Saccharomyces cerevisiae S288C: one gene and its partners. The gene in region 3 interacts genetically with the main gene of each other region. Each region holds a gene or a part of one and is shown on either strand. Other genes may lie near its edges.

Region 1 (2,986 bases), on a different chromosome or scaffold from region 3:
CAGTAGAGTTGCTCTTGTCTTGACCCGTGAATATTAAATACTGTAGAACCAGAACGGATACTTGAATATATTCAACGATGGGAAAATAAAAAGACATATAAGAAAAATGTGCTAGTACGGTAAGGAGGATACTGAAAAGAAAAGGAAAATATAGTTTAAAATAGTAAAGATAACCCACTTTCGTTATGGGTTTAGTGAGGGTTGGTAACGAACCGTAGCGCGGTGTAGTATGCTGTGAATAATTGTACTTTAGCATAGTTAACATTACAATCTTTGTACGTTTATATAACAAATATGATAGAGTATGAGAAAAATTAAATGATACATTTTGAGGTTAAGGTTGAAACTATTATATGGAAGAAAGGTGGAATATAGTTAGGGCCAAAATGACACTATAAATGACATGATGTGAGCCTTAGTAAGGTGAGAGCTACGCTTCCTGGTTTAAATCAAAACCGAGAGCCCAAAATATTATCGGTATCGACGTAACATTTCAATGTCATTCAAGCTTAAAGGAGATCAGCGCAAATGCGTGAAGTCTTAGTCATTGTAAATGCGATTTTTCTTTGTTGAAGGTGAAGTCGGAAAATTCACATGACTGCAAAAAAATCCTAGTCTACAGTATGGTAACCAAAAAATGCTATATATACATATGTCCTGCATGAAAGAGAGGGCGAGTTTTCAGTTTGACAAGCTTTCTCTTATTGCTGCTATTCCTCTCTTTTGTTTGCCATTTTCAAAATTTGTTTTGTCTAACCATTCTTCAAAGGTTTTACGAATGCGTAACCATTCTTTATCGATTATTGAAAACCATTGAGTGTCGCGAGTGCGACCCTTATATACCACCACTTGTCGAAACGTGCCTTCATACTTAAAGCCTAAGCGCATCGCTGCCCTCCTTGACGGCCCATTTAAACTATCACACTTCCACTCATATCTCCTGTATTGAAGATCATCAAATACATACTTCATTAACAGAAATTGAGCTTCAGTTGCAATAATCGTCTTCTGTAATTCTGGTGAAAAAACAACATATCCAACTTCTAGTGAACCGTTGGCTTCATCGATTCTTATTAAGCACAATGTACCAACGGCACGTTCAGTCTCTTTATTAATAATTGCGAAAGGCACAGTATCTTTAGTTTCATTGAGTTCCTTAATGAATTCTAGATATTCCTCCAAGTTAGTGAATGGTCCCGCAGGTAAATACGTCCATAATTTTTGGCCTGCCTCACTATAGGCACTAAAAAGTTCCGAACCATGTCTTTCTCTATCTAGAGGTTCTAGTCTGCAAGTGTTACCTTTCAATACAACTTTCTCTGGGAAGGCCCTTGTTGTCCAACCTTCGACGTCAGCACCAACTTCTTGCCCAAATATATTTAAATTCGCCATAATTGTTTCTACTGAAGGGCATTATTTCCAGGTTCAGAGGCGGGAAAATTCTTGCAAGGCGTCCTCCCATGCTATTTTTATATCATTGTTGATTGTTTATCAACCTCTTATCAACCTCCTATCAACCTTTGAAGAATGGCTCAAAAAAAAAACAACCTTCCATTATGAACCAATAAACAGAGCAAATATCACGTGCACAAAGAACTACGAACTTTTTGACTTTCACACTGGCGATGATCCAAGACGTATTACAGTACAAGAGATCTGCTTTATTGTAAGCCCAGTAAACAGCTTCTTATAGACTCTGCAAATATAGGTACAGAGTTTGCATAATTTTCTAATATACACTTATGCCTTATGATAATCCCAATTTTGAGAAGGAGACAAATTCAGCGAGTGGCGTATAAGTGCGTGCGCTATTGAAACAAATCTCACATAAATGTGTTTATGATCAGCAATAACCTTATCGATGCAACAGAAAATGTGATTCGCGAAATTTGCATCTTTCTTTTCAAAAAATATTTCAAAAACAAATTGCCAAGAGATGATGAAAACAAATCACTCAATTCAAGTTAAATAAGAACTCGTGTATATATAGAAAATATGAGGAAATGTACTCCATTTCAACTGCTTGACTTTAAAATGATGCTGGCTCATGAGAAGCCTCCAAGAAATAATATCGGTGTTACTATTCCAATACTTTCGATCCGCTCTGTGCTAAATAGGCAAACTCAAAAGTAATAAATACATACACATATTACGGAGATTTGTGCCTTTAAGGAATATAAATTATAATTATCTGCTAGTTTACATTTTAATGGCTCCAAACATTTATTTTCTAGAAGTGCTCCTTAATAAACAATAATCTTAAAAGAATAATTATGGAGCGTGTCCGGTTGTAATTAATACTCAGTAATTATATATAATTTGAGAATTATGCTCGTGTGCATTTTCTTCCAATATATTATACTCTGAACCATGTCGTGCTGTGTGCATAAAATTGCTCGATGAAAATCTTAACCCACCTTTTAGGTTGAAAAAAACATGTTCACTTTTTCACTAAAGACTTGTTACCACGGATTGTGCTTCTTTAACGTATGGCCATAGCTCAACGTTCAACGAAGCAAACCACATAGTTTTTTTTAAAGATAAAAGGCGATAGAAAAAGCAGCTAAAAAACCATTCACAGTCAAGTCCATCGTAGAAAAACTCTTCATTATTCCAGACTTTTTTCTCAAACAAATACCTATTCATTTTCTTTGCAATTTCGTCCCATCCATTCGCACCGCTTTCTTGCTCATTTATAATAGTTGACAAGAACTGCATCTTGTGTTCCATTTTAACGGATAAAACAATCATTCCCATATTTTGGAAATCTCTCGTCATGATAAAAAACATTACTACCGGAAACAAGAAACGTGATATAAGGTCAACATTTCCAGACGTGTAGACAATTAAAAAATAATAAAGGAAGACTTGTAAACACCGCAGCTTGAAAATCCTTTTAAGAATCCAGGTAAGCTTAAATCGGTAAGCTTCTTTGGGAAGTTTAGCATCTTCTAGGCCAACAGGGCTCCATGATTTTTCAGTATTA
Region 2 (3,427 bases), on a different chromosome or scaffold from region 3:
GTTTGCATTTTCAGGGTTCGTATCATGACTGTTTGGGTCTATTCTTTCTTCATTTCCAGATACGTTGCTAGACGACGTTTCTGCTGCGTTTTGTTCATTGTCTGCAGGCAAGTCTGTATTTTCCTTTTCTTCGTTCTTTTTCTTGTTTAAACCAAAAAATCTGACCATCGGTATATCGAGTTTACACCAGTACTATGTACATGCAAAAAGAAAGGAGGATATCTAGTATGTTTATTCAACCTTTATTGTATATTTACGTTTTCTGTACTGTATAATTTCATTTTCGAATCTTACTTTTTTTTTTTTACTCAAAAATACTTCCGCCGCGGCGTTCTACAATTTCACTTAAAATTAGTTTGGGTAATAATTACATACAATGCTGCAGACGTACATAAAAAACCATCAATGCTACGTTTCCTGATCTTTTCGTACATAAAAGATTGTGCGTATCAGCCACAAGTAAGCTTGGACTTAAGATACACAAAAATAAAAAGTAAAATTTAAAATTTGTCTTCCAAAGGAGAGTCATTGAGCAGTTGATGAAGTTTAGTTGAGCTTTGAGAAAGCTCACCTACTTGGCTTGTACCCTTCTCTTTATATGTACTCACTGCAGGGATGTTTGCTTTAATTTTGGTGACCTTTGTGCCATAGGCCCTAGGCTCCAGCTTGATCAATGTGTGTAGTGGGATTGACATCCAAGGGGATTCCTCCTGTGGAACGTTCATAAAATATGCATATATACACCGAAGTACGGCTTGATGAGTTATAATGAGAACATTTTCTTGGCGCTCCAATTCCATAATGACGGGCTCTAAACGAATCACTACATCTCTGTATGATTCTCCACCACGATATCTGTACTCGTATTTGTCATTATCACGTGCTTTAAAATCTTCAGGATATTCTTTTTCAATTTCCTCATACGTCATTCCGTCACAAACGCCAGCGTCTAATTCATCAAGTGCTTTCCATTGCAGTTTCTTATAGGGAAGATAATTTGCCGTTTGTTGTGTTCTTTTTAAGGTGGAAGTCCACACGGTCAAATTTATTTCTCCTGCGCTCTCTTTCACTAACTGCTCCAATTTTTTAGCGTACTGAAAGCCTCTTTCAGACAGTGATGAATCCCCGCCAATTTTTTTCTCTACGTTATAGATCGATTCGCCGTGACGGGAGAGCCAGATATATTTTGGTTTAGGACGAATATTCATAACATAAAATACAATCCTACTTTCCAAATATGTTCTGATCTTATTAATTACTACTTCTTCAATAATATTGACCAACTTAATGAACGTCATATCCTTATCTTTTTGGGGGTCCAAAGGTTCATAAAATCTTTCATATTGTCTAATTCTTTCCAAAAAATCAGCTTCCGCCACATGAGGTTCAGAGTTTTCATAATCAGGAGATGTGCTACCGATATCCTTAGCGTTATTTATAATCAGTTCATGATCGTTACTCCAGCTCTCTAAAAACATCGGTTGAATATTATTCTTTTCACATATATCTTTAAGCCATTTCCTTCTTTTACGTGTACTATTAGTAGCATCGAAAACTGCCACAGATCCGTCTTCTTTAGTAAAAAAATTAACAATATCTTTTATGGCATTTTGGGCAGCCAATTCTCTGAGTTTAAAATTATCTGTATTTTCGAAGTTAAAAAACTCAGCATCCATTGGGACATTTCCACTCACGTCTCTTCTGTAATTTCCCACATTAAAACACTTGGCTTTTATGGATAACCACGATAAGTACCTGATAATTTTTTGGGAAATAAAAGACTTTCCTCTAGCTGGTAGGCCAACCATTATCACACATACTTTGATATCATTATCGTTGGAAATAGTACTGTACCCCATGTTTCTTGTCTTACTTGATTCGGTTTTTGAGCCCCCTTTCCTTTATTTCTTAACAAACTTGCTTGGTGAATTTAAGAGCGAAGGGAAAGCAAAGATTATATATTAAATTCGTATCCACTGGCCAAAATGATACTTTACCTGATGTAAATGTATGATAAGCTATAGCTCTCTTAGTGGCGCTTTACATGTAGATGTAAGTTAGGGATAAGAATAGATTTGTGAGCGCATTGGCGCGACCCATTTTTTTAACACAGAAAAAAAGTAAAAAATAGAAATTACCCAATTAAGTGTTTTTATAGTAAACAATCCTTGATATCTTAGTTGAAAATAAACTCGAATTATGTACAAGTTTCCTTCCACTTAATCTATGATCCTTCTTTAGGTAAATTTTTATTAGCTTTATTTGTGTAGTTTTTTTTTATCTTGGGCATGTACGAAGAGCAAGTACGTTATTTAACTATACATATATGACTTTGAAACGATCGTCAACTTCTCTTTGACTTTCAATGTACTCACAAGTGCGTCGAAAATGGTGGATTGGGATATACTTCAGTTGGTGCAGTAATTTACTACCTGAAGCAGTTGCTACGACTCCGCGTATTAGCGTGGAAGATCCGTTCAGAGTATTTAATTGAATATACGTACCATCCGATCCTATGGCAACATTTGATTCCTTATCTGTGATTACAGAGCCATCGTCAGCATTACTGCTTGCCTTCACATTATTTTCTCCGGTGATGTGCAAATCACTGATTGAGTTGGTAATCATAGAGGCACTGTTATCTTCTAGTTTTAGCGATTTTAAGTTTGTTTTGATTAGTTCGATCAGACCATTGATGTATTTTATCGATATATGAGTTTCGGACTCATCCCCGTGAATAAAATAGTAGAGGCATCTATTTAATATTTCGACCATTAGCTCACAACTCTGTTCGTTATCCATTATAGAATCCGCCACACGGAGAGACCTTTGTAGACATTCTAACACCCGTTTACCATCTCTGTAGAAGTTGTCTGTGATACCTTCTTCCTCACCAATATTTGAAATTTCCGTTGCCCACCAGAGGTGGGAGCATAAATAAACAGCACGACATTGGTCTTGTTTCTTTAATAATTTGGATCCATGGAGTGTGCATCTGACAATCAAAGAATCATAATAAGCTTCTTTGTAGAGTGATCTTGTCTTTTGTAAAGACTGAGCAATATATATTAAAGCCTGTAACTGAGTCTTTGAATCACTTAGAGACTCTTCAAATATTGTGAAGGCCTGTGAGAAAAAATCATATGAAATTTCGTTTAATTGCAATTGATCAGCTAGAATGGCACATTGTAAATTCAGTTTCAGAATCAGATCTGTGCATGAGTTGTTGCAAGAATTAAAGATATCATTGATACAACGAGAAACAAATTTAAACATTTGCTTTAAAAGATTGGAATAATGGGAAAGTAACGTCTTGTTATCGGGTCTTTTTTTCAAAAGGTACTCTTGTATCATACGGCATTTCCTCATCAGTTTCCAAAAATTTGTGATTATTGCTGGAAAAGTGTATTTAACATTGATGCCACCT
Region 3 (3,843 bases):
AGTATTGTAGCCTTACCATTTTGCCCAATAGACAGTGAAAATTTACCGAAACTGGAAGACCGGCCGTGAACCTTCATTGAAGACGATGACACAACAATTGAAGGTGATTGGTAATCCAATGAGGAGGGCGTTTGCATTGAAGGGGCTCTGATTGGCGAGAAGATAAGAGTGTGGCTAGATTGCGGTGTGGAGCTGAATCTCTGCTGTTGTTGCGGTGTTGTGTATACCATTGATTGGTTTAAAAACTGCTTCCTTGCTAAAATCTTTTGTAAAACGAAACCGATAAAGAAGAATAACAAACTACAAAGTAGAAGAATGAATACAGCTGTGCATGAATGTCATATTATGAAAATATTTCATTGCGTTAAATATAATTTCCAGGCCTTTTTTTGCACTTTAACGCGTTTCGCGTCAATTACCCAATTGAGTATAGAAAAAGAGGCAACTCAGGGAGATTATAGACATTTGATTATTTAATTACAGCTTGTTATAAAGGACGAATATCTGGCTTGGGTCCCAGGGGCGTAATTCCCAAGGGGTTGATCCTTGTGTGGGAACGCGTGTAGTGTAACTTGATATGGTCAAAATCTGTTGTGTACCTGAAGGCATCATAATTCCAGTATAAATTTCTTACCCACAAATGAATAAATGGATATCCGGCTCTAATAGAGGTAAAATTGCATTTGAAATGTTGGACGTACACAGGATCGAATCTTATGACGGTAGTATACAATCTAATGTCAGCTTCTGTTAATTGATCACCCACAGTGAAGAACTCACCCAAGATTTTTTGTCTATCTTCTTCACCGTATTTGGCCTTCAATTTGGAATATTTGTCACTCAGGATTTTCTCCACTTTGTCCAAATGTTCAAATACGTTGTTGACTTCACTTTCGTAAACTTCTGCTTTCTCTGCGAATCCGGTCTTGTATACACCATTGTTGATGCTGTCGTAAACCCAAGAATTGAAGTCATCGATCTGTGTTTTCAACTGAGCAGGAACAAGGTCCGTTTTCTTGTGATCGTCGTCGACAAATTCATCGAACGCACTAGAGTTCAAAATCCTTATAATTTCGCTACTTTCGTTGTTAACAATTGTTTGGGTTTCTAAGTCCCACAGGACTGGGACGGTGAACCTTGCCGAGTATTGAGGATCGCTCTTGTAATATAAGTCACTGATTCTCTTGTATCCATAGTGAGGCTCATTGGTAGCATCAACCATGAATCTTTGACTGTCATTCTTGATCTCGGCGAAGCTCTTGCTGGAATCCTCTTTAGCAGTTCTAATACCACCTGCAACATCGTGCCAATGTTCCAAAAAATCTTCACTGTCCTCCAATTGCTTTTCCATGTCCAAAAATCTCCATCCTTTCTCGTCAAGGTGCCAATGGACTACGCTACATCCTATAACAGAGGTTAATCCCTTCAAAGCCCTCGTAATTAGTGTTCTATGGGCCCATGGGCATGCAAGTGAAACATACAACCAATATCTTCCCTTTGCTGGCTTATAAATTGGGTGTTGCTTAGAGATTGTTTCTCTGAAGGACGAAACCTGTCTTTTGAAAGCTCCGTTTGTACCACTCGCCCACTGTTTCGACATTTCTTATTTATCTTGCGCAGGGTTTGGGTAAATTCTCGTAAGCACTGTAGTGATGGTAAGAGCAGCGTTACCTAATTAACTACCTTTATACAAGAAATGGAAAAGGGTTGAGAGGGGTTGGACGCTAAGACAAATAAATAGGGGTGTGAAATTTCAAGAGCTGACTAATATCTTAGTAACGGAGAACAACAGAGAACAGATGATAAAACTATATTGATACGTTCAAAAGGTCTTAGGACCGTCTGAAGAGGTGAAATAAAGATGGAAAAGTTTGCGTCACCAAGCCTTTTGCGTCGGTTTCCTCTGTAACACTTTTTAATTCAAAGTGTTAAAATCTCAACTGTATACCCTCTAATTTGCATAATAATGAAACTAAATGTAAAAAAAAAAAGGAAAGAAAATCACTCCATAATCAGGGTAATGAATCATTTTACAGTGTCATTTGCATGTTCATACACATACCCTTCTTGACAGAATGCAGGAAAAGCCTCAACTATTTATCGGACACATTCGCAAATGTCCATTGACGAGTAAAACGTTTCCGCGTCACTACATTCGTCACTACACAACTTTAAAATACCTTATTTTTTTAATTATGCGGAGTAAGTATCTTTGCAGAACTAGATGGTTGGATTGAGCAGTAGGCATCAGTGACTCGAATTGGTGCTCATTTTTATTTTAACGTACGATTTGTTCAGGCCTTGCTATGACAAGCTTCCTGACGAAATCATACTGCAAGATACATAGTCCCAGTCCATAAACTAGTAGAATGACAAAAAGAAACTCAGAACATACATAACACGATAGACAACGTATTCACGGTTTTGAACCCCACGTAGTATCCTTCTAAATGGCATTGCCTTTACCACATGAAAAACTAAGAGAAGAAAGCTCTCTGCACTAATCATTATAAACGACAGCGGACCCGGAAGCGAGTACCCGAATAGGCCGGGGAAGGAAAAGATAGAAAGGAATCTTTTTTTCTTCCCCCCGCTCTTTTTTTTTATGCTTTTTGGGGTTTTTCCGGCAACTTTCAACAGAAATGCCGTAGCCGGAAAAACCGAAAGCGGGGGACAGTGAAGCGTGAGAGGGGCGAGACAGGGGGAACTTGAATGGGGTATTTTGCTTTTGCTGCATTTTTTCCGCTGGTACCTCTATCTTTAGGCGACCGGAAAAATTCATTTTCTCATCTTTTTTTTTTTTTCGTTTCCGACTCGATACTCTTTACAAAGAAACCCCCGCGGGGAAATGTTAGATTTGAGCTTTTTCCGCCAGGAAAAGAAAAAACCTGGGGACATTAATCTTGTTTTTTCTTTCTTCTTTTGTCTTCCCTTGGATGACTGCAGAAAAAGTACAGTTACCGGGTCTTAGCAAAAACAAACATATATATATATATATATGAAAGCGTATGGTCAACACGGTTTTATAGGTTTTACTTTTTGCATTCAGTTCAACTTTGGCCCTTTCTCTTATCGCATTCAGATACTACACACAAGTGTTCATACACACACAAATAGATACATATACAGAAAATGACTAGTTTGGACGATACAATAATTTCGTACCAGAATATAATGTTACTGGATAACATGACCAACTACAACAAGCCTGCGATTGACTATTTCCATCATGAATTTAATGATGCAAGCTTGGAAATATCGGCTTCATGGACACTACTATTGAAGATGCGCAAACATAAACTACTTCGATTACCAAGTTGCTCTTCAGAGGACGTGCTAGATTACAACATGTACCTCGTTAGGCTACATCATTGCCTCTGGAGGCGTTGGTCCATAAATCACTATGGTTTACAGAACTCCAAATCCAATCCACTGTCCATCAACTGGAACAAAGAAACCGATGTAACGGTGTTGTACGGTCCAGATTTGACTAACATAGATAGTAATGAAAACGAAATATCGCCGGTCCAGAACCAAATTGACCAGAAACAAACAAAAAATCTAAAATCTGCTTTAAAGAAAAATACGGAATGCTGGGTAACCGAGGAGGTGGATGAGATTAACGCTTCTATAGAGAGCAATGACAACGCTTTGGTGAAATTAGAAGACATTTCATGCCCATCGTCTGTTGATTCTCACACGTCTTCCATTTTCGACCAGCATTCTACATGCACTAAAATTTCCTCCATAGATGAAGATTCTGAAGACCTTATGAACGAAAAGAAGGAACAATTCCCCAGGAAGTTGAAGTTTAACCAAGCCGTGATGAAGAGGGAGATCGAC

Evidence for each region.
Region 1: mutations in ECM4 (region 3) and YIR042C together harm fitness more than expected from each alone (negative genetic interaction), as found in Saccharomyces cerevisiae (one large-scale study listed by BioGRID).
Region 2: mutations in ECM4 (region 3) and FBP26 together harm fitness more than expected from each alone (negative genetic interaction), as found in Saccharomyces cerevisiae (one large-scale study listed by BioGRID).

The regions. Positions count from the first base shown.
Region 1 is NC_001141.2:434,592-437,577, forward strand, and holds YIR042C (uncharacterized protein), read right to left. Parts: upstream 1,393-2,986; coding exon 682-1,392; downstream 1-681.
Region 2 is NC_001142.9:128,785-132,211, forward strand, and holds FBP26 (fructose-2,6-bisphosphatase), read right to left. Parts: upstream 1,860-3,427; coding exon 501-1,859; downstream 1-500. Other genes in the region: SSY5 (Ssy5p), read right to left, coding at 1-168; retromer subunit VPS35, read right to left, coding at 2,317-3,427. UniProt on the Saccharomyces cerevisiae protein: Monofunctional, high-specificity fructose-2,6-bisphosphatase, which releases phosphate from the 2-position of fructose 2,6-bisphosphate. Has no detectable 6-phosphofructo-2-kinase activity.
Region 3 is NC_001143.9:580,040-583,882, reverse strand, and holds ECM4 (S-glutathionyl-(chloro)hydroquinone reductase), read right to left. Parts: upstream 1,601-3,843; coding exon 488-1,600; downstream 1-487. Other genes in the region: MSA2 (Msa2p), read right to left, coding at 1-230; YKR075C (uncharacterized protein), read left to right, coding at 3,133-3,843. UniProt on the Saccharomyces cerevisiae protein: Active as '1-Cys' thiol transferase against beta-hydroxyethyl disulfide (HED), as dehydroascorbate reductase and as dimethylarsinic acid reductase, while not active against the standard GST substrate 1-chloro-2,4-dinitrobenzene (CDNB).